Caenorhabditis elegans: one gene and its partners. The protein of the gene in region 3 purifies or fractionates together with the protein of the main gene of each other region. This does not show direct contact. Each region holds a gene or a part of one and is shown on either strand. Other genes may lie near its edges.

Region 1 (7,198 bases), on a different chromosome or scaffold from region 3:
AAAACGCGATTTTTTCCGGTTATTTTTTGTGGTTTTTCTGAATTTTAGAATTTTAAATTAATTTTTTTCTGTCTAACCTGTGCATGATACAGTGATAAGCATTTCGGTTTGTGCAATGGTAGAAGAACTTTTACAAGGAAAACCTTGTGCTCTTGCTTCAATGGAAGAGCAAATCCGTTTATAATTGAGCCAAGAATCTCGAGAAGCTCACCGACACCGTTGAATGAGTCCGTTTCGTATACGAATCTGCAAAAAATTGGAAATTGAAAAGTGGAAGAAGCTTTGTGTCGATTTACGCAGCGCTTTTACTAATTTTTCGCTAAAATTCACATTTTTTTGGACCAAATTCGCGAAATTTAACATTAAAATCGCCGATTTATTGTATTTTTATAGCAATTTATAATGTACTTACTGTTGAAAAACAAGAATTTTTTTAAATTTTCAACAGAAAATTCATCGATTTTCACCTAAAACACTTCAAAACAGGGATAAATTGGCAATTTTTAAGTTGGAAATTGCGAAAAAAAAGTCCAAAAAGTCCAAAACCGGTTATGTGTCGATTTACGCGCGCCGTGTACTCCTCGAGAAGAATAATTTTTTGATTGATTTTTAGCTAAAATGCTTGATTTTGAACCATTTTCGTGAATTTTAACACTAAAATCGCCGATTTATAGTAATTTAGGCCTGAAAAACTAGAATTTATCGTTTTTTTTGTATTTTTCAATGAAAAATTCATCGATTTTCGCTTAAATCTCTATTGAAAGCCAATTTTAATTTCAAAATTACAAAAAATTGTCCAAAAATCATGTTTTTAAGCCAAAAAATGAGCATTTTTCCTCGTGGAGTACACGAGCTCCGAATAAACGTGTACTCCTTGTGGAAGAGAGGAATTCCTTTTTTTTTTCAAATTTAACACAAAAAACGCTATTTTACATAACTTTTCACAAGTTTTCGGTATTTTTCAAAGAAAAATCACAAATTTTCACCCAAAACACCACAAATATGACAATTTTAATATCAAAAATTGCAAAAATGGTCCAAATCCATGAATTTTTGCCGAAAATTGAGCTTTTCGTTGCAATTTTCTCATTTTTAAGCCATTTTTTAGCGATTTTTCAGCGAAAAAAAAAATCCAGTATTCACCTCAAAAACATATTATTGATATGTTTGCGAATAAAAGCCCGAAGGCCCAAAAATTTTCCGTAAATACGATGAAGAACCGTCTTCAAAAAGTCTCGTTCACGTGGATCCTCCGAATCGAATAAATCGAGCAGCTTGAGCACAAATCTCTGATCAATATACTTTTTACCGATTGAAGCTTGGAAATCTGGCGACTCAAGGAATCTCAGGAAGAGCTCGTAGACAAGCTGCAAAATTCGTTTTTTTTTTTTTGATTTTAGGGCAGTTTTTCCAATTTTCAGTGAATTTTTGCAGATTTCTGATGATTTTAAGCATCTTTTAGCTCCCAATTTGGCCAGAAAATGGCCTAAAAACTCAAATTTTGTCGACTTTTCTGAGTTTCAGGTGAAATTTGGCCATAGAAGACGGAATTTCATAACAAAATTCATTAAAAACCGCTCAAAATCTCGAAAAATTACATATTTTCAGCTGAAATTTCAAATTTTGCCAACTTTCCAGGTTTCACAGCGGTCGGAAATTGAGAAATTGGCGATTTAGGCTGACATTCGACGAATTTTCAGCATTTTTTGATGGCCCGGAGCCATTTTGGGTATAATAGAGCAAAAATTGATTTTTTTAAATAGGGGTCTTTTGTAATAAAAATAATCAAAAATTGCTGAAAATTCCGAAAAATGGTCGAATTTCAGCCTAAATCGCCAATTTTTTAATTTCCGACCGTTGTGACACCGGGAAAGTTGGCAAAATTTGAGATTTCAGCTGAAAATGTCATTTTATGAGCTGTTGAGCGATTTTTAATGAATTTTGTTATAAAATTCCGTCTTTCGATGCCTTTCTCGGTCCAAAAAGTGGCCAAATGCCATCTGTAACACGGAAAAGTTGAGAAAATCAGAGTTTTTAGGTCATTTTGTCAATATTTTTTGATGCACTGGGGCTATTTTTGGTATATTGGAGCAAAAAAACGCGGTTTTCTGCTATAATTTTCAGATTTTCGATGTTTTCAGGATGTATCGGGGTTTTTTTTTGCCAAAAGGAAAACTAATAATTTTCCAGTCGAAAAAGTCAATTTTTTGGACCAAAAATTAGTGAAAAATGCACTTTTTGCTCTATTTTTCTGAAAATTGCATTTTTTTTTCGATTTTTTTTTGTCATTTTTCGGCTTCCTGGAGCCATTTTCGGGTTTTTCTTGCATTTCCAACCTGTAAATGTGGCCACGAGACTTCTAAAGTCGGTTCATCCTCTTCTGGATCAAATTCACAATTTTCTGATGGTGGAAGTACACGGAATATATTCTTGGCAACCATTTTAATGACAGCCGGATAAATTGTCTCAACAATTGCTCCTTTTGTCGATGTAATGTGATCGATGAGCTCATTTAGAGCTGCTCTTTTGATTTCTTTGCATTTCAGTTGAGCTACTGGATCATAGAAATCGAATACGTGCTGACATTGGACGAGCTTTTCGATAACGAGAGCCGGTTGCTCATTTGCAGCAGTATCTGGAAAAATTGAAGTTTTTAAAGATTTTTAGCGGTAAAATTGATTTAAAAGGCTCAAAATAAATTCAAATTTCGATAAAAATGGCGAAAATCTCAAATTTTGCAGCAGCAATTGAATTTCTTTTAAAAAATTGATGATTTAGGCCTTTTTTCGGGGTTTTAGCAGGGATTTTCGGCAAATTTTCACTGAAAAACCCGACAATTTCGGCTCAAAAAAAAACCGACAATTTCGGCTCAAATATTCTGAAAAAAGGCTAAATTTGAAATCGGCAATTTTTGCAGATTTTAGAGATTTCAGACGGCGTTTTTCAGAATTTTAGTTCAAAATTTGGCTCAAAAAGACCAAATTTTCTTAGTTTTGGGTTCAAAATTATCCGATTTGTCAAAAAATCTTTTAAAAAAAAGACTAAAAACTCCATTTTTACGAATTTGCAGCGACCGAAAATCGATTTTCATCGAAATATTCCTTTATTTTGAAGATTTTCGCGATTTCTAACGCGTTTTCCCGTCGATGTAGGTAAATTTTCACGAAATAATGTAAAAATACAACATAAAAAAGTTGATTTACTTGAAAATAGTGTAAGTTTTCGTTAAAAACTTTAAAAAGAATCACAAATTTTGTATAAAAGTCGAAATTCACACTTTTGGGACAATTTCCGACAATTGTAGGCTATTTTCCAACTTTTCAACGAAAATTATCCTAATTTTCAGGCCAATCGAGCATTTTTCAACATTTTTTCACTAAAATTAGCATTTTTGGACATTTTCCCTGAATATTTGCCTGGAATCGACTGAAAACTGCCAAAATCTGCGGCAGGGTGGCAAAATGCGAGTTTTTCGCTATTTTTTACTCAATTCTTCGAAATTTTTTCGGTTTTTCATCTAGAAAATCCAAAAAAATCACCTTTGATGAGCGCCAATTGTACGAGTTCTTGAGCCGAATCAACATTATATCGGCTGCTGTTGTTGATGCGCCTGAAAATATCGGGAAAAATCGATAAAAATAAATTAAACCAGCCACTCACAATCGTCTAGAAGTTCCTCTTTTATTATGGAACGGATCGATTTTATCAACAAATTGATTAGCTGTCGCCGAGAGTTGTTGGCCACCGGTGGCGGCTCCCTGTGTCCGTGGCGGCGGAATTTGATGCGGAGCGCCCGTTAGACTGTGCCCGCTTCCGTGCATTTTTTTTTTTGATTAAAAGAATTTATCTTCTTCAACGTCTTCTCGCCCTGGTTGTGTTCGAGCGAAGTGTTGAAACTTCGTGTAGGAGGGAGCAGAGAAGCAGACGGCGAGAGAGAGATTTCTGGGCGCTTCTGCAAAATGTATATATATATATATTGATTTTTTATTGCGAGAGAGTGAGAGAGAGAGGGTTTTTATTAACGCGGAATGGTGTAAAAGAGATAGGCAGTGGTTATCGAAATTATGATAAGAAGAGAGTGAAAGTAAATGGCAATGTAGGTCGACAAGTGATCAGATTCGGGAATAAAATGTATTGAAATGGGTTTTATTTAATTTTATTCAATTTTTAACCGAAAAAAACGCAGGAAAAACGCTCAAATTGTAGACAAAACATCGATTTAACGTAAAAAACAAATTAAAAAACGAGAAAATCTCCGATTTACATTGGAGCGCACTTACTGATCGGTGGTTTGCCGCGTTTTTTCTAGTTTTTAAAGCTTCCTTGTGGTAAAAATTTGCAAAAATGCCTTCATTAAATGAACAAAGCAATGGGCAATGGGGCCAATACACAGAAAAAGTGAAATTTTGAGAACTATCACAAAATTGATTAAAAAAACCATTTAACAAGAAAAACTAGATTCAAATTCCCGCTCCGCAAATTTATCAATGGAGCACGCTTGCGAATTTGTTTTTTATTTGTTTTTTTAGATGGAAAAACTGAATTTCGTCGAAATTTAGTTGAAGTTTCAGAGTTTTCAGCGTAAAAACTGCTTTAAAAATTAAAAAAAAATAAAACAACCGAAAATTCTGTATTTCTTGCTGGTTTGCTCACTTTTAGCGATAACCGCGGGGAAAATTGATAAATTTTGAGAGAGGAGTGACAGTTTTTGCTGGTGTAAAAATGTGCCAAAATAAACGAATTTCGTTTAATTTTACCTATGGCGGTTGAAAATATCGATAAAACTGGGCATTTTTATCTAAAATCCAGCTGGAAAACTAGCTTTGCCAATTTTTCGTGTCGGAAAAAATTTTAATTTCCTACCGCTACGACATATAAATTTTTGGAAAAATCGAAAATTTTGTCTAATTTTTAAAAATTATCAAGTTTTTTCGAAATTTTGAACTTCGAGGTCTGAATTAAAAAAAAGAAGCCTCCATAAAAAATTTCGGGAAATTTAAGAGTAGTCTCATTACAAAATTCGTTTATTTGAGCGCATTTTGAGTCTAAAAAAGCAAAATCCTTTAATTTTTCATGCGCATGACCTACGCAGTTCGCGCATAAATTATATTTTATTCCCTACAAAAAACACGAACAATGTTCCAAATCGCTTAATAAATTCAGTGAAAAAGTTGAAAAAAAGAGACAAAAAACTCTCGCTCTCACACGAGGTATAAACGTCAACGTTTTGTTGTCTTCTCTCACTCTGCCCAGCCACAGAGAGAGTTAGTTGATCGAGAGAAAAAAGACAATCTCTCACCCGATGAGCGCCGTTTGTGAGCGGCGCGAGCAGAGTTCGTGTGCATTCCGGAGTGCACAGTGATGCAGACACTGAGAAGACGTCGAGAGACGCAGACACGTCGTGCGCACTCGCGCACGCATTTGCACACGGAAAGGCCGGAGAGTGTGGGAGACCGAGAGAGAGAGAGAGAGAAGTAAAGGAATAATATACGCACACAGGCCATCACAGGCCACTGGAGACGACGGAGACGTGAAGAAAATGAAGAGGAGGGGCAGTTTATGGGGGTGGAAGTAAATACGGGGAGAAAAAGTGAGAATTTGCACAACTTTCAGATGAATAGAAAAAGCTTAATTAAAACGCAAACTTCTGAAACTTTTACCTAAAGGCGCAGAGGCTTAGTGGGATGGGTCTCGCCGCGAAAGCAAAGTTTATAGTAGCACTGATATCTAAAAAATGGAAGAAATTACACAAAAAATTAGCCGAGAAATAATTGATTGAAAATTAGAGAAATGACTTAAAATTATTTTTAAAAAGGCTTTTTATACGGAACAAAAGTCTTCTCGAAAATACGGTACCGGGTCTCGACACGACAAAAGTTTGTTAAATACGAAAAGGCGTGCACCTTTAAAGAGTACTGTAACTCCAAAGTTTTGTTGTTGTTGCGGAATTTTCATCGATTTTTTATAGTTTTGGACCGAAATTTATTTTTTTTAAAATATTTTTTTCTGGAAAAAAATAAGGAAACATTTTTGCTGATAAATATGAATTTTTCCGGTAATTTGAGAGAAAAACAGTTTTCGCTATTTTATAAAAAATGAATATTAGCTAAAATTCCACTTCTCCTCGCGGAGTACACGCTGCGCACCTGGTGCTGATCTACAAAAAATGCGGAAATTTTTTGTCCAAAAAAATGTAACGTCAGCACGTTCTTAACCATACGAAATCAGTTGAGAACTCTGCGTCTCTCTTCTCTCGCATTTCTTGTAGATCTACGTAGATCAAGCCGAAATGAGGCACTCTGACAACATGTGGCTGCGTAAATCGACACAGGGCGGCACATTCGCTACGTGGCCTAGAAAATCGCCAACACGGCCGCGATGCATCAAACTTGGCCGAGAAAAGTTAAAACTTCGGCCACGACCTCAAAACTGGGGAAGAGTTTTCTAATAAAAACCCGCGAAAACTGGTAAAAATCGATAAAGCAAAAAAAAAAAAACAAATGATCCAAATCAATTGATGAGTGTCTCTGTGTGAGTGAGTGGTGTGAGTGATTCCCGATTCAAATAAAAAAGATGATATTATCGGAGGTGGTCTTTTCACTGACAAAACATGTGCGTTACCACAAGAAAATACTGTAGAAACAAGACGAGACGCAGACGAAAAATATATATTATTATTATTTTCAACAATTTGTTCGACTAGTTTCTGTCCAACAGAAAAATGTATAAATGCTGAGCCTACTGGAATTATAGAAAGGATTTGAGAAGGAAGAGAGATTTGAGATTAGATTAATGTTGGCCGTGGAAAAGCGGGAGGATTATTTTCTGATGCTCGGCGAGCAAAGTGTTGAGCTATAGCTTGGATTAGATTTTTTCATTTAAAATTACAAAAATTCTAAGTTATAGTGAACTCGGCCACCTCATGTTACTACGTGGCCGTGAAAAAAAGAAAACTCGGCCACCCTCATACATTGAAATCTTGGCTCGGGTAGATTTACGGCGCGTTGCGTGTCGCGTCGCGGCTCGGTTTTAGTTGTAAAACTCAATGTATTTGTCCGTGTAAAGTACACGACTTTCCCACGCGTTCTCCGACAGGCGATTGTCAATGGAGCGCGAAAAATTAAATGAGGAAGGACAGAACAATGAGGAAGGCTAGAGATACCCCTTTCAAGACAATTCTCGTCAAGTTTCAGAAACA
Region 2 (7,881 bases), on a different chromosome or scaffold from region 3:
AAAAAACAGGAATTGTGAGCAAGTATATTGGATTCTGGAATATTTGCTTGTTTTTCAGACGTTTATTATTTTCTAGATATAAATGAATAATACCAATCTATAATATTTATCTCTAGAAGCTGTACTGAAATTATCATCCGTTGGCAAAAATTTGAAACCCGGTTCATGGTAAATCCTGACATGGAGTTTCAATTTGGTAATTTCTTTTTCTATATCAAATGAACTATTTTTGGGTATTGTCATTTTTTTTTGCGAATTAACGATACTCGAGTGTGGTTGGCTTGTCACTTAAAAAACTATATATCGTTAAATTTTCTTCGTTGTAAATCACATTTACCACATTTTCTGATCGAATGTGAATTCACTGAAAATGTTACGAATGAATTCAAAAGTGAATAAATCTAGTAATATTACAGTAAACAACTCTAGAATAATATTTTAAAAAGAACAGAAAGAATATGAATAGATGTCATTCATTGTCTCAATTTCTTCCAAGTGTATCCTTTCCTCATTCTGGTTGTCATACATTTGCCACACTTTTATTACTCTCATCATTTCATCATTTCATCATGTCTGCTCCGGCTGTGGCTTATTCGCTTTTATTGTAAAATATTCGAATAAGTTGCATTAATTCAATTGTCTAAGATTCTGACAATCGTCTAAGTTGTCTAAGTTCAATTCTGCCAAAAATGCAATTTTTTTTGCATTTTCGGCAAGGTATACCCATTAGAACCAAACCAACTAATTTCAAGGAAAATTAAATAACAAAAATTTCCTTATTTTCATGGAACTAAAAAGAATCGCCTTAACCGAAAGTTGGCGATTTTTGCTCCGAAAATACGGTGCCCGGTCTCGACACGACAATTTTTGTCAAATACAAAAATGTGTGCGTCTTTAAAGAGTACTGTAGTTTCTAATTTTCGCTGCTTTCGAATTTTCATGGATTTTTTATAGAAAGACACACACATTTTTGTATTTAACAAAAACTGTCGCGTTCGAGACCGGGAACCGTATTTACTAATGGTGATTTTAATATTTTAAAATTGTCATTAGATTGAAATACAACGAATCATCCTGTTAAAGTTTTATAAATCTTGTTTAAAAATAAATGAAAGCGACTTTGCGATAATGAGTTTTAAAGTAAAATGTTCCAAAGACTAACAGAGAAATCATAAGAAAAAAAAAGATAAAGTAAACCCTGGAGAAGAAATATGACGAAGTGAGTCAGAAACAAACAAAAATTCGTCTCATGGATTTATGATCTTCTCTCTGCTTTTTCAGTTCTTTGTTTATTCCTAAACGCTTATAATGCTCCTTCGTCTCATTTCGTGTATTTCATACATAAGTGCATATTGATGTGCAAAGAGTGGGGTTAGCATTCGAAAAAGAACATATAAAGAAGGATTTGGATGAAATGAGCCAAACCCCTCGTAAACCTTCTGCCTAATATATATTCCCATGATTATTCCTATGCAGATTTTAATGTATTTCACATGGCTTCTCGATTCATTTATAACATCTAAATCCAAATCACTACCAAAATGGGGGAAATTATTACACAATGAAAAGTCGCATTTGGATTTGCGATGATGGTGAGGAGAGATGGAATTTATGGTGCATATTGATAAAACTGAAATAAGTTTCGAAATATTTACAGGTACGCAAACATAGATGTGATTAAGGGCAATTTTGGAGAGCAATAAAACGGTGATAAGGGTCATGGAATGGTCAATATTTTAAGAAAGGAACGGAAACTGGGTAAGGAAGTCGAATCATCGTATAATAAACCCGGCACAACATGGAGAAATTGGCACCCGTTGAAGTCTTCTGCATCACTGTTCGTCGGTGCTAGTCACTTTCTTCAAAAATGGATCGTGACGCTTGTACTCGCCTAAAGCTCTCGTCGTTTGCTCATCTGGAGGGAAATCGGATTGTTTGTGGTTGGGTCCGAAATCCATATCGTTTTTCATCGAGCTCTGTAATGATTCGTTATTGTACAAAAAAAAAATATTTCTAGGTTTTTGTAACTTACCACTCCTACAGCATTTTTCAGAATTTCATCCTTGCTAAGCACAGTTGAAGTCTTCATATTCTCGTCAACTCCATTCTGCTGACGCGAGCTGATGATTTCATCTGGATTAAATCGAGCAAATAGTGCTTTAACTTCAACATATTGCGGGTTTCCCATTGCCTGTTTCTCAATATTGTTCCAGATGCGTTCTTTTTCTTCATTCAATGTCTTTTCTTGAACTCGATCTTTCTGATAAGCTTGGGAACACTCGTCAAACAGTTTTTGATTCATTTCCATGAACATCTTGAGGGCGTTGTAGATAAGTCCATGAATCGTTTTATTCCAATGTGACTTGCTGTTTTTGAAAAGAACAGGGAACATTATTGGAATTATCACACGAGCATTGTCCGCTACTAATGACATCACATATTCATTATTCCAATAGTAGAGAGCTCGTTCGGCAACTTGGAAGTGTGGACTGCTGACACAGCGAGCAATTTGTGAGAACAATGGAGTCATGATTTTTTGGAACTCATTCGGCTCTATCACATCGAGGACTTCTTCCAATTCATTCAGGAACATCACTTCCTTGGGACTATGTTGTTTTGGCCAGAAGCGTAGCATCCCACTGATTACAGGCTCTGTCAGTGATGAGTCTTTTTCAATGAACTGTACGACACAGTACGCGAGTTGAGGATGATATACAGATAATGATTTGACCTTGTGTAGCGGAAGAAGAACTCGGAGCAAGAAAGTTTTGTGTTCCTCTTTCAAGGGAAGAGCGAATCCATTGATAATGCTACCTAGAATCTCGAGTAATTCAGCAATCCCGTTGTGCCTCTCAGTTTCGTAGATGAACGAGTAGAAAATGTTGTTGATTTGCTTCCGAATGTAAGCACGATGTCCGAGGAACTTTCCATAAATTCGATGTAAAGTTGTCTTCAGAAAGTCACGTTCACGTGGATCTTCACTGTCCATAATCATGAGAAGACGAAGAATGAAATTTTGATCAATGTAACGTTTTGCAACTTGAGATTGAAAATCGGGGCACTCCAGGAATCTCAGGAAAAACTCGTAGACGAGCTGAAAATATTTACTTTAAATAAGAGCAGAAAATAAATATTACCTGCAGATGTGGCCAGGCAGCTTCTAATGTTGGTTCGTCTTCATCGGGGTCAAATTCAGCACCAATTGGATTGGTCGGTGGGCTCAAAGGACGGAAAAGATTAGTGGAGAACATGCCGATAGCTTCTGGATAGACAGCATCAGATAGCGATCCTTTTGGAGCTCCGGAAACGTGGTCGACGAGTTCATTTAGAGCTGCCCGTTTGACTTCTTTGAATTTTAAATCGCTGAGAGCATCATTGGCAAAGTCAAAAACAACGCAGCATTGTCGAAGTTTTTGAATGAACAGTGTTTCTCTCTCGCTCGGATCCGCATCTAAAAACGAGTTTATCAATACGGTAATTAAAAAAAACATTATTACCTTTGATAGCTGGAAGTCTTTGCAGCTCTCTGTTTTGTGAAATGTTGAACATGCTACTTGATTGGCGGCGCTCTCTTCGCGGTATCACTGGCCCTGAAATTAAATCTGTCTCTATAGTTAATTAGTCTTCGTTTAAACACTAACCTCCTCCGTACGTGTTTGTTCGGCCAATATTTGTTGGTGGTGGTGCATCTGCAGGAATCATATCTCCTAGAAATGATAAATATGAGGGCCGAAAATGGAAAAATCAATGATTGTGATTCAAAAAAAAATTTATCCGAGAGGAGTACACTAGTGGTGGACTAACTATCCCATTTTCGATTTCTGCGGCCTCGTCGAGCATTTACGCGGGAAATTCAAATTCAAATGTACACTACAAAAGTTGTTTCGTGAAGTTGGGGAAATAGCGAAATGTCTAAGCGTTTGTAAGAAAATATCTACTATGAACAAAATAATATTTTCTCCAGAACACTAAAATGTTTTTTTCTTTGGTATGCGCTGCAAAAAGACTACAGGAAAGGCGTAACAAACCAAAAAAACACAATCAAACTAATTGAGCTGGAGTCCTAATCCGTTCCAACTATCCTATTCGAATTATTTCTAATACCTTCTTCCGTGATACAAAATAACGCGAGAAATAGAAGAAGAGTAGGGTAAATTGATGATAGAAAAGAAATCTAAAGGAGCAAGACAGGCGCAGAGAAGAAAGAAGGTCGTTTTTTCTGTGAGAAATAAAGAAAATGGGGGGGGGGGGGCAAAAAGAAGAAGAGTTTGAAGGAGTTTGTGGAAAAGTTGGACATCAATAGTGTGCCTTGAGGGCTCACAGATTTCTTGTTGTTGGTTGGATGGCTTGTTCCTCCCCCATCTAACTGATAAATATTTTCACTCAATATCTTCATAAAATGTAGTGCATTTGATTTCAGATCCGATACATTTCTACTTATTTATACTTTGCATCCATTTCAGTTATTCAAAAAAATGCAAGTGGTCAAAAACCTGCCTACCTCGAGAACTATAAGATGCTGAAAGGGAGGACAGCTTCAAAAATTATTTACTGAAGAAAACTCTAATCAAAACCTTAATCTCGAATCATGTTGTTTTTGTTTCCGAATAGTATATGTTTTCATGATAAAATTCGACACGCCGTAATCTAAACTTTATAGGCTCGCTGTATTGTCTTCACAGGGTCTCACAACGATCTCCGCTCGTTTCGAAGAATTCTCAAAACTCTACGATAGGAACCACTCTTACTCCTAAATGTTCTCAAATAATTTAGACTACTTACTCGTTTTCTGTCGTCTTTTCTTTGATCTCTGTGGCATTTTATTCATTGCTATCTTTGGTTGATGGTTGAAATTACTCGATGGTTAGAAAGAAATGATGAAAAATTATGCTCTCGGAGAACCGTGGAAGAATATAGATTCACGTGAGATTTTATTGAAATTGACTTTTTTAAAATTTTGTGTTATCATCTTTCCCGAATAATCAAAACATTAATTTACCTCCAACATCTTCTGTTCGGATCGTAGGAATTGTAGATGCCTTACTGCTTCCAGCACCGTCATCTTTCATTGATTTCTTATCCTTCTCTTTGTCCTTTTTCTCTGATTTCCCATTTTCCTTGTCCTTCTTCTTTGATCTCAACATTGCGGATGCGGAGCCGACCGCCTGAAATTAACAACATGAAAAATTCAATAAAAGTATGAAGAGACCTTTAAAAAATTAAAAAGAGAATACAAGGGACAACAAACTGAGCAAGTGACCATTTTTCATTGTTTCAAAAGTGGAAAAACGTTGTTGACAAGAGATATTATGTTTTCAAAGCAACGGGGAAAAACTGAGAACACACATGATAACATGCACATATGCACCCAAATCTGTTTTTTAGAAAACTACAGTAACCTATGTAATAAATGCAATCTCAAGCAGTATGATTAACTGTAGGAGAGGAATTAATGGAATGCAAAACCATGGAATTCCATGTGGCTCTAACTAACAAAAAATGACATCACTACATGAATGAGAAAAATCATCTGTCTTTACTTAAAAACCATCGTCACTTCGGAAATCGGAAGACGAAAAATAAAAAGCGCGGAGCAAACGGCGCCGTCCCTCTTCCCACGCTTTGTCGTTTTTTCCTACAGCTCGTCTTCTGCTTTTTCAGCGCAATTTTCGATTAACCAGCCCACTTCTTTTCTCTCGTTTTTTCCTTAAAGATCGAGCTTCATCCTCTTCAATTTCCAATTACTGCTGCTCTTTTGAGAGTAAAAGAGTAGACGATGTCAAGGATCAGATTCTGATGAAAAAAAGAGAGCAGGAAGAATTTGGCAGTCTTACTCGTAAGATACAAATACTTGACATATAAGTATACGAAATATTTTATGGGTTTGCCAAAAGTGAACCCATGAAGCAAAGAAAATAGCGGTCGTGCTGGATTGCTGAAAAACAGGTGAAATTGTGTGGTGCCCCCAACATAGAAACAAGCAATTAGAATTCTGTTGTGGCTCACATATCGCGTGTTTTTTGACAAGCAAAATGAGAAAAGGCGTTTTCGTAAGAAAGCAGAAATAACTGGTGAAAAAACGAGTAATAAATCTAGGAACTTTTTTTAATATATTCTATACGAATATGCAATGAATTGTAGCTGATCACAGACAAAAAATTGATGTACTTTTGTGCACCGAGTTTTTTTTTTCTAGATTTAAGACTTTTTCTGAATTTAACATTCTATTTTTCCTTGAAGGTTCAGTGATCAAGTGATGCCATTGCAAGTAATACGATAAAAAAAATAAATTAGAAAGGATAAAAACGGTCAGAAGCATCGTGCCGTCTTGAATCAAGTTTTAAACTAATTAATTTTCTAAACAAGCTTAAAATGTTTTTATTCATTTTTATCTGGTTATTTGTGTGAACACAGATGATTCACCGCTTGAAAAATACTTATCGACACCAATAATTTAGATGCGTTTGTGTTTTAATATTATAGATTTAGAATTCGAAATATTCATACATGCCCCATTTATAAAGCTTTAAAAGTTGAACCACATCGTACGCTTGTAAACTCCGCCGGCGTCTGCGGAACAAAAAAGTCCAAGAATCGATTGATAAATTTCGAGAGTAATTATATAAATAGAAAACTTAGCCAGCAACTAATTAATGAATAAGTCCCTTCTAACTGTTGGGATTTTTAGGGTATTGTTTTAAACTATCTCTAATTATAATGAACCAATTTTTATCCACTTTTCAATTATATTTAAAAAAACGGGTTTCATCGAAGCTGAAACAAGTAAGACTCTAGAAAAACAAAATATTCAACATTGCCGTTCCTAGACACAAAAACATACATTTTTGTTAGAAATCGTTAAAAACTGACACGTGATGACGGAGGGTGAAACTAGTTGAAGAAATGAAATCTTGTCCCGGGGTCTGGGCGCCAGTATTGGCATCATATTTCTGTTTTGAAAATCAAAGAGCACAAAGGAATTGGCTATTGTGAGTATATGCATGGCATTGAACCAGCGTAAAATCCCAAAGTCCCTTACGTGCGGAAATAATGCTCATCCGTCTTCAATAGTCTATTGGAATATTTCCATGATGACCCGGCTACAGAAAAAATATTCGAATAGAAAAATAATTTGTCGCTGGAGACCAAAAAGGAAAAATAAATAAATGTTCGAAAATCTTTGAAAACACATTCAGGGAATTCACTGATAAATCCTCTTAACTTATAAATAATCGTCTAGAAAGCAATTTTCTATTTACTAACGCGTTTCGAAAAAGATAACAATTTTTTATCAAAACCTTGATAATGAGCTTTTGTATTTAAAGCTTACAGTTCATAATACCAATTCAAAAAAAATGTCAAAAACCCAAAGTCAATTGGAAGTTTTCAAGCGTTGAAATAATTTCACAATATGAAATCATTCAACAATATAGTTTAGATTTTCAAAATAATACTACGTTAAAAATGTTTTTTCTAAGTAACTTTGAGAAAGGTACCTTCATAATTAAAGCGTTTCGAAAGACATTTTTTCGATTGACGATTTTATGTTTCTCTAAAAATTACTGGTGAATGTTTGAAGTCAACACGTATTTAAAAAATTTAATTTTTACATTATATAATAATTCTGTAAATTATCTGCTTTCTAGAAAAGCAACCGTTAAGGTTGGTATGTGTCATTTATTTTTCATGCTGAGTAGCCGAGCCATCTGATTGTTATAGTAACCAATCTGAAGACTGAAATATTTTCTTAGAATAATCTGAATTCCCAGAATACGAATGTATCACCTGCGACCTAATTTAGCTTCAACTATACTTTATATCGTAAACTTCCAAGTTGCGGAATTCAAATGTAAAGATGTATCAGTCAAAGAATAAAGAGTG
Region 3 (8,103 bases):
CAGAATGATTCGAGGTCGCAGACAATTTTATTCACTCTGAAAATATAGTATTATTATGACATAGGCTCCTACTTGGAAATGATCCAAGAAGGCTACTGGCGCAATTCTCGTGAGCTTTTTTAATGGTATTTTGGAGTCGGTTTAATGCTTGTAGTTTTTAATTAGCTAACGATTGTTCAAAATTGAAATGTTTCAGTTTTGGGCTAATCTTAAGCGTTTATCTGCTTGATATCTTTTAATTAGACCGAAGTTTCAAAATTTTTAATATTTTTTGGCAGTTTGGTATTTTTATAGGACGCTACTATGTATCTAATGTATACATTATTCCATAACCTTATTCCATGTTATTATAGATTTTCGAGAAAAGCACTTACAATGTGGGATTTGCATTAAAGATATTTTTCTCCTCGACTTGCCGATTCTTACTCTGAAATTAATTTCTGAAGGTTTTCGAAACTTTTTTGATACAAAAACTCACCAATTTACCATCTTGAGTCAGAAGATTTTTTGTAGACATTCGGGGTGCGGATAGCAGAAATTAAATTTCTGAAAGTAATGAAAATTAGCTTCTTGAAACTAATATAACTTTAAAACTCACCACACATACAATACATAAATTTTTTTAATTTGTTTTAATCCAGAAAAAAATGGTGGTGCCAGCCACACAAGCCGCCGCAGGAAGACCAAATGATACCTCCGGGAAAAAATTTTGATAAGAAAGTAGAGGAGCAGAGAAACAAAAACAATGAAAAAGTGTGTAGCGGACTGCAATAAAATTTTATATTAATGTAGAGTGACACACAAAAAGAAAAAGATGCTAAACAGTTTTCCTTCGAACTTTAAAAATATTTTAGTTTAAAAAAAATTTGAAAAAAAATCAAGTGTTTTTGATGGTTCTGGTGTTTCATTTAAATGAAACTATACTGTTTTATTTCATCAGGCTTAGGCTTAGGCCTATGCGTAGGCCTATGATTTGGCTTAGGCCTTGGCGTAGGCTTAGGCTTCGGATGTAAGCGATATTCTAGAAAATTTTGACTATGATAATTTGTCATTTTGGGATCATAGGAGTAGTTTTTAACAATTTCCCCTTTGGTTTTTTTGGATTTGGTCTGGCATGCTGCCACTGAAATGAAATTTCACAGGAAACACTGGATATCTAAGGCCAGCACTTAACATTGTTTTCATTCTTGAAAGCTGAAATCGCTAGTCAAATAGCCATCCAAGGAAAACACAACAAGTTTAAGGCGGGAAATGGCGCAAGTGGACGTTCAAAGAGAAGACCTTCAAATGAAGTTAGGCAGGCAAGTAGGCATGCCTATCAATAAAAATGTAGAGGGTAGTATCTAGTAGTATTAAGAAAACTTAACATTCCTATCCTTATAATCAGTAATTGCCAATTTGGATTGTTAATAACTTTTTATATTTCAGAGTCAACTACTAGAATTCTATTTATACGCGCCTATACCAATTTCCTCTACTGTGTTTTTCAGTACAAACGGAACCTTCGCTATCGTAGCGGATAAGTCTGAAGCATCGCTTTTGAAATTGAATCCGTGACCACTTTTTTGCCTAACTTTTACAAAAAGCCAAAGAAGAGACATATTTCTACTAATCAGTTGCCAATTATATACCTATTTCAAACATTCGCTTTATTGAAATTCAACTTTGAATTTTGAATGAGCAGCAGTCCTGATAACAATAGAAAACTACCCGTTACAAGTTCCTGGGCAGACCATAAATAAATTCACAAGAAGGAGCAAGTTGGAGTATAAAAAGAGTGGTTAAAAGGTCAATGAACAAGAATAAAATACAAAATACTCGACATGAAATAGATATATATCAGTACAATCATTGATCTCTGGGTGGGTCAAAAATAGATTCCAGCCATTCTCGTTTTGCATTCAAGTATCTGACAGGATCCGATTTCCGAAGATATACAAGGAGACACGCATCAGCAATTGAGATGATATTCTTCTGTCCGATACACTCCTTCCACAACATGTAGAGCATATTGGTGGAATCTGTGGAGCTGCTCGTATCGTCAAGCCGAGCCTGAACGAACTCGAGAGCAATATCTTTCTGAACTGCAAGGTCATTTGGATTTCCTAAGCAGGCTTCAGCAAACCGGAGAAACCATCTTCTGAATATATTTCGCACAGGTGGAACCCTTGGATCTGAAAAAATTTACGTTTTTCAAGATTAAATATGTCTTATCTTTCTTACCATCGGCATAAGGACCATCCAATCTTGGAATTGTCTCGGTGCAAAAATAATTCAAGTACAGCCATCTTTCAGGTGACATCCCGTGAATATTCAAATTCACTTTCAAGAGTTGTGTCTTCTCTTTGTAGTGAGCATCAATATAATCATTGAAGTCTTGTTGAGCTTCCAGGAATGCCGTCAAGCTATCAGAAATACGAGGTGGTGGTGAAGTTGGAGGTGCATCTTGAGAAGAATCTTCGGTCGGGTTGGCTGACTTGCAAGGGAGTGGGGCAGGCTGACTGAAAAAAAAATTAATTGTACTTGGAAAGTATGTTACAGAAATCGAATCAAGCTGTGCGGCAAAAATTTATATATTCTGAGGAAATTAAATTTATTAGCGGGCTCGCAATTCACCGTTTAGTAATTATAATATCAAGTGATTAGACTGGGCTCCAGGGATGTGTGGAAAATCTCAAAAGTTGCCGAGCACTACTAAATTTTTGGCGACAAAATCCATAGCTTTGATCAAAATTGTCTGAGCTCGGCAAACGGCAAATTAGGCTAATTCGGCAAAGTTGTTTCGGCAAAACCGTACAAATTTGCCGCACACCTTCTGGGCAATAGACAAAAGCAGAGGGCTTTTTGCGGAGTTGTGCAAGATTAATGCTCTATTTTTTTACTCGAGAGGTCTAGTCTTGACCTCAATCTACTCAACTTGCACATTATTTTCCATATGTTTGATCCACGATTTTTTGAGAATTCAGAAATTTATATAATACGAAACTCATTGCGAATTTATTGATTTGGGCCTTACCTGGTGGCTTCAGAGGACCATCTCCCGGCTTGGTTGTTCACTTCAGCCATACGATTATCACAATTGATTCCACTTCTTTTCGGAGTTGGGCAACCATTACAATCTATGGAAACTGGATTTCCGGTACAATGAGAGCTGGAAAAGAACATTTAAAAATGTTGTTTGTTCTTTGTAGTTCCATACCTTTTCAGTCCATCAAGCCCTGGAGTCAACTTTCGAGCGATTCGGTTTCCTGAAGTTGCTTCCTTCCCAGAAACCGTGGCGGAGTACATTGGTGACTTTGTGAGTTTCGAATCAATCATGCCAAGTGACTTGTCAATCTTTGAAGACCTGCAATACAAACATAATGAAAAAAGCAGCTCCAAGTGTAAAACTAACTTGTTGGATGCTGTCAGACATTTTTCTCCGATCAAAGCCTTCGGGCTTGTGATGATTGACAAGGAAGGTGTTCTCTGATCCTTGCTGAAATTCAAACTTTTACTAAATACTTCACTTTTTATCACTACATACCTTGAGAAAGCACGTTTTGTAGATTTCGGCTTCCCAGGGTCCCCATGAAGTAAACGTCTCATTTCCTCAACGTTGGCATCAAAAGTTCCTGTCCACTTTCTTCTTGAGATCTTTGGAGGAGAACTCGGATGTGGACTTGGTGTGGGTTCGACATCTTCTTCTACAGTCTCCAGCGTCACGTCAAGACTGGCGAGACGGGACGCACTACGAGAACTTCCACGACGATGTTTCTGCACTGAAGTTTTCTTCGAAAGATTTTCTGGCAGGGTTCGATTGTTTACATCCAGAAAACTGGAGTCGAAGTCTTCACCAATTGAGCAATTTAGATCACTTCTAGCTGGTAATGTCCGATTCAAATTGCTGCATTCTCCGTGAGAACTGGAAGCTGAGTGCAAGTGTTGTCCGATCTTCATGCTGACAATTTCCAGTAACTGTTCCACAGAAAGTTCGGTGCCGTCCTTGCTGAACACATTGGATTTCAGATTACGTTGAGCAGCTCCTCTGGAAGAGTTCAGTTTCTCCGCCACTTGACTGCCAGCATCCTTCGTTCCGCGAGACTGTTGTTGAGATTTGTTAGTGACAGATTTTGGACCGTTTGCAACACCATTGGAATCTTCTATGAACACGTCGTCAGACAGTTCATTGTCATCTGTGTTGTAGAAAGCACGATCCTGGACATTAGTGCTCCCATGTGATCTTCTTCTATCGTTTCTTGATCCTTCTTGATGATGCTTCCTTGTTAAAGCTTCATTAATAGTAAATCCGGAAAAGCTCTGGTTCAAATTCCGCGGCTTGAAGACATCATGCTGTTGGCCAAAACTAGAATTGATCGAATTGATAAGCTCATTTCCAAACATGCCTCCATATCTCTTGTCCTTGTGATCTCCAGGAGCTTGAACTCCAGCTTGAGCGTTGAAGCTTTTATTTCCATGAAGTTGTTGGTAAGCCTTGGTTTCTTGTTTCTGGAACCCAGCTGGAACGGAACTCCCACTGAATGACACATTCCCAGCATGGCCATGATTGTTCGATCCATCCGAGAAGCTTCGGCCAAGTTGTCCATTCGGACGGCTTCTACTGTGCCCTGTATTTGACTGCTGAGTGTTGTACTGATAAGTGGAAACTGACAAGTTCCGTTGATTCCAGCTGGAGTTATTGCGTGTCTGCGAGTTTTGACGGAAGTCTGCAGAGAACACGGGGGCCGTTGGAGGAATGCTCGATGAGTTGAAGACGTTTCTGTTAGCTCGAGCTGCATTCATCGATTGATTAATCGAGTGATTCAACTGGTCGCCGTTCATGGAAGGATTCCCGTTAAAAGACACGGATCCGTGGTGAGATCTGCCACCATATCCACGGCTTGTTGACTGAACACCGTCTTGCTTTACGAACGAATAAAACAATTCTTCAATACTAATGTGGTGTCCCATATTTTTCGATGCACTTTCCAAATTGCTTCGACTATGAGAGCGGTGACCTGAAATTACAAATTGAAGAAAAAAATTGATTTAAAAAATGCTTACCTTCTCTGTTTCCTCTGGAGTTTGGCAGATCACATGAGGAAAGCTTTGAAGAACTCATACCTGCAACAAAAAAAACTTAATGAAATATTACAAAATGTAAAAATGTAAAAATGTAAAGAAAATAATGAGGGAGAGAGGAATTAATGAAAACCGGTGGGACCAAAAAGCAAGAATGGAGACCTGTGAGTGAGTGAGTGCGAGAAGTGAGAGAGTGAGAGAGGTAGAGAAAGAGAGCGCGAAATAGTGTGTGGGGAAACGGTCAGGGGAATGCATGCGCGCGGCAAAAACACAGTTAAAATGCGGCAGGGGTATTACCAAAACAACACAAAACGTTTGTATGGTACCGGCTGTTTTTCAAGAGTATTGGAGGTTTGAGGAACAGTTGAGTAAAAAGTCGGATATTGATAGTTAATTCTCTGGAATATTGGTGACCGGAAAGATAATCACTGAATAAAACACGAGAAGAAGAAAAATAAGGAAAAATCTTTGGTTCCGTGTACTTGTTAGTTTAAAGGTGGAGTAGCGTTTGTGGGTTTTTTGTACCTTAATGACAAAATAGAGTTTCAATGTAAATATCGAATAAAACTGTAAAAAAATTCCGAACATTTTCTTTGAAATTTTATGATTTTTTTCAATTTTGCAAAAAAAAAGGGCCGAATTATTTTTCAATTCCAGCGCAAATTATTGACCTGATCTTTGACATTTTTCTTAATATTTTCTTTGATTTAAAACTTAAAACTTTAATTTTTCACAGTTTCATACATTTTTCAGTAATGTTTCAGTAAAGTAAGTTAAAATTAATACTGAATTATCGATTTTTAGACTAATTTCAGCGTTTCCAAGTGAGCAGCCAATTTTCTTTACGGAAAAATGTCTGAAAATGTGGCAAGTAAAATTTCAAATTATGACACAAAGAAAAAATGAAGAAAACTCAAACAGTTTGCCACGTGGGATCAAATGAAAATCTTGAGGACTGTGGTCGATAACTTCTGCCAATTAATTTTCTAGACTGTCTCATGTTTCAATACCAAAATGAAATCATTAAATACTGCCAGGTTGCCCCACGTGGCAAAATTTTTTTTTTTTTTTTTTTTTGGTTTTTTTCTACAGGTCTTGCCTGGATAAATGCCGTATGTAAGCTGTAAGACAGTGGAACGAACACTGAATTCCCATTTAAGGCTGGAAGGACCTAGGAGGTGGGGGTCGAACTTGTGACCTTGTGATTGCAAGCAGCGCGCATAGGCACTGAGCCATGCACCCCCCGGAAGCATGAGTCACTAATAGGGGTGGCTATAGGTCGACCTAGGTCGACCTGCGACCTAGAGGGTTAGGTCGCATCGCGACCTAGGTCGCATTGCGACCTGCGACCTAGCGACCTGGGTCGCTTTGCGACCTGCGACCTAGCGACCTGGGTCGCTTTGCGACCTGCGACCTAGCGACCTAGGTCGCATCGCGACCTGAATTACCGACATTTTGTTCTCTTTCGGTTTTGATTCACTTGAGTTGTTAAAATCCGTATAACTCGAAAACTAAAGATTGCAGAATATGTATGATATATTCCACTAACATTTTCTCTATTAAGATTTTATAAGTTTATGCGTAGTTTTTTTTCAAAAGTACGGAACAAAGAATTCATTTCTACAAATAAAACCATGCATTTCAGCAAATTTTTTCAAAAAGTTCACGTTTTTGTGGTTTTTGTTGTTTCTAAAATTTCATTTTCCACTTTTCGAATTAAAAACGTAGAAAAAAGCAGCAAATCCGGCGGATGTCGGCTGTTCTAACTTTTTTCGACAAGGTGTCTTATGGATGAGAAATCGAAAACAATGTAAAATAAATGATTTGTAGCAATTTGTTAGTATAAAAATTGTCGGTAATTCAGGTCGCAATGCAGTTTTCGAGTTATACGGATTTTAACAACTCAAGTGAATCAAAACCGAAAGAGAACAAAATGTCGGTAATTCAGGTCGCAATGCGACCTAGGTCGCTAGGTCGCAGGTCGCAATGCGACCCAGGTCGCTAGGTCGCAGGTCGCAATGCAACCCAGATCGCTAGGTCGCAGGTCGCTAGGTCGCAGGTCGCAATGCGACCTAAATGAAAACAGCGACCTAGCGACCTAGGTCGCACTCTTGCCACCCCTAGTCACTAATGAATTATATGAAATCGATCGCCGGAGAAGCTGCAAGCAGCATACAAAGGATCTTTTTTATTTTTTATTTTCAATTGATCTCTCTAGAGTGGCTTTTCTTATAAAATATTGAGACTTTTCCAAAGTCTCTATATGCGTTGTAACCAAAATTCCCAAACTGCCAAGCAAGTATTTATAATGAGTTCAAATTCGAAATGGGGAAATTGTTTTAAAACACGCCTATGTTACCACAATGACCGAATATCATGATAAAAAATTTTCTAGATTTCATATGATTTTTTGAAAATTGCAAAAATCTCAGTTTTCCTCTAATTCCTATTCGAATTTCCGCCGAATGAATTCGTTCGCTGGAGCGCACTTGCATTATTTTTATTAATTTATTTTATTTTTTCTCATTATTACACTGATTTTCTTCATTCTTTGTGTATTTTTATCGGAAAACAAGAGAGAAGATAAATGCAAATTATTTATTTAAAAATAACTGAGAATGGGTGAAACTGTGAAATAAGCTAATTTCAGGCTTGCTATCGTCGGAACTCATAATTTTACAGTTTTACCCATTTTCAGTGATTTTTAAATAAATAATTTGCATTTATCTTGAATTTTTCTCTCTTTTTCCGATAAAAATACACAAAGAATGAAGAAAATCAGTGAAATAATGAGAAACAATATAATAAATTAATAAAAATAATGCAAGTGTGCTCCAGCGAACGAATTCAATTGGCGGAAATTCAAATAGGAATTAGGGGAAAACTGAGATTTTTGCAATTTTCAAAAAAATCATATAAAATCTAGAAAATTTTTTTGAATTTTTTATCATGATACGTAAATATACAACACTTATTGCTCACTTTTTTGTTTTAATTTTTTGTTTTTCATTCAATGGTATCTCATTCTTGCTTCTCATTTAC

The links.
Region 1: the proteins of meg-4 (region 3) and pptr-1 purify together in Caenorhabditis elegans (affinity purification with western blotting, with the first as the bait; one study listed by BioGRID). This does not show direct contact.
Region 2: the proteins of meg-4 (region 3) and pptr-2 purify together in Caenorhabditis elegans (affinity purification with western blotting, with the first as the bait; one study listed by BioGRID). This does not show direct contact.

What each region holds. Positions count from the first base shown.
Region 1 is NC_003283.11:16,354,275-16,361,472, reverse strand, and holds the start of pptr-1 (Serine/threonine-protein phosphatase 2A regulatory subunit pptr-1), read right to left. Parts: upstream 3,953-7,198; 5' UTR 3,822-3,952; coding exon 3,661-3,821; intron 3,611-3,660; coding exon 3,540-3,610; intron 2,636-3,539; coding exon 2,337-2,635; intron 1,368-2,336; coding exon 1,144-1,367; intron 247-1,143; coding exon 78-246; intron 1-77. UniProt on the Caenorhabditis elegans protein: Probable regulatory subunit of serine/threonine-protein phosphatase let-92 which negatively regulates the insulin receptor signaling cascade composed of daf-2, age-1, akt-1, akt-2 and sgk-1 by promoting the dephosphorylation of akt-1 on 'Thr-350'.
Region 2 is NC_003283.11:11,025,681-11,033,561, forward strand, and holds pptr-2 (Serine/threonine protein phosphatase 2A regulatory subunit), read right to left. Parts: upstream 5,145-7,881; coding exon 5,000-5,144; intron 4,829-4,999; coding exon of another isoform or gene 4,783-4,828; intron 4,241-4,782; exon of another isoform or gene 4,125-4,240; intron 4,105-4,124; exon of another isoform or gene 3,964-4,104; intron 3,708-3,963; coding exon 3,642-3,707; intron 3,603-3,641; coding exon of another isoform or gene 3,591-3,602; coding exon 3,498-3,590; intron 3,452-3,497; coding exon 3,138-3,451; intron 3,095-3,137; coding exon 2,033-3,094; intron 1,977-2,032; coding exon 1,833-1,976; downstream 1-1,832.
Region 3 is NC_003284.9:1,679,954-1,688,056, reverse strand, and holds meg-4 (J domain-containing protein), read right to left. Parts: upstream 5,104-8,103; 5' UTR 5,102-5,103; coding exon 5,044-5,101; intron 4,998-5,043; coding exon 3,527-4,997; intron 3,479-3,526; coding exon 3,395-3,478; intron 3,347-3,394; coding exon 3,200-3,346; intron 3,152-3,199; coding exon 3,017-3,151; intron 2,502-3,016; coding exon 2,224-2,501; intron 2,175-2,223; coding exon 1,849-2,174; 3' UTR 1,638-1,848; downstream 1-1,637. Other genes in the region: C36C9.11 (Transposase), read right to left, coding at 1-36, 375-427, 479-517.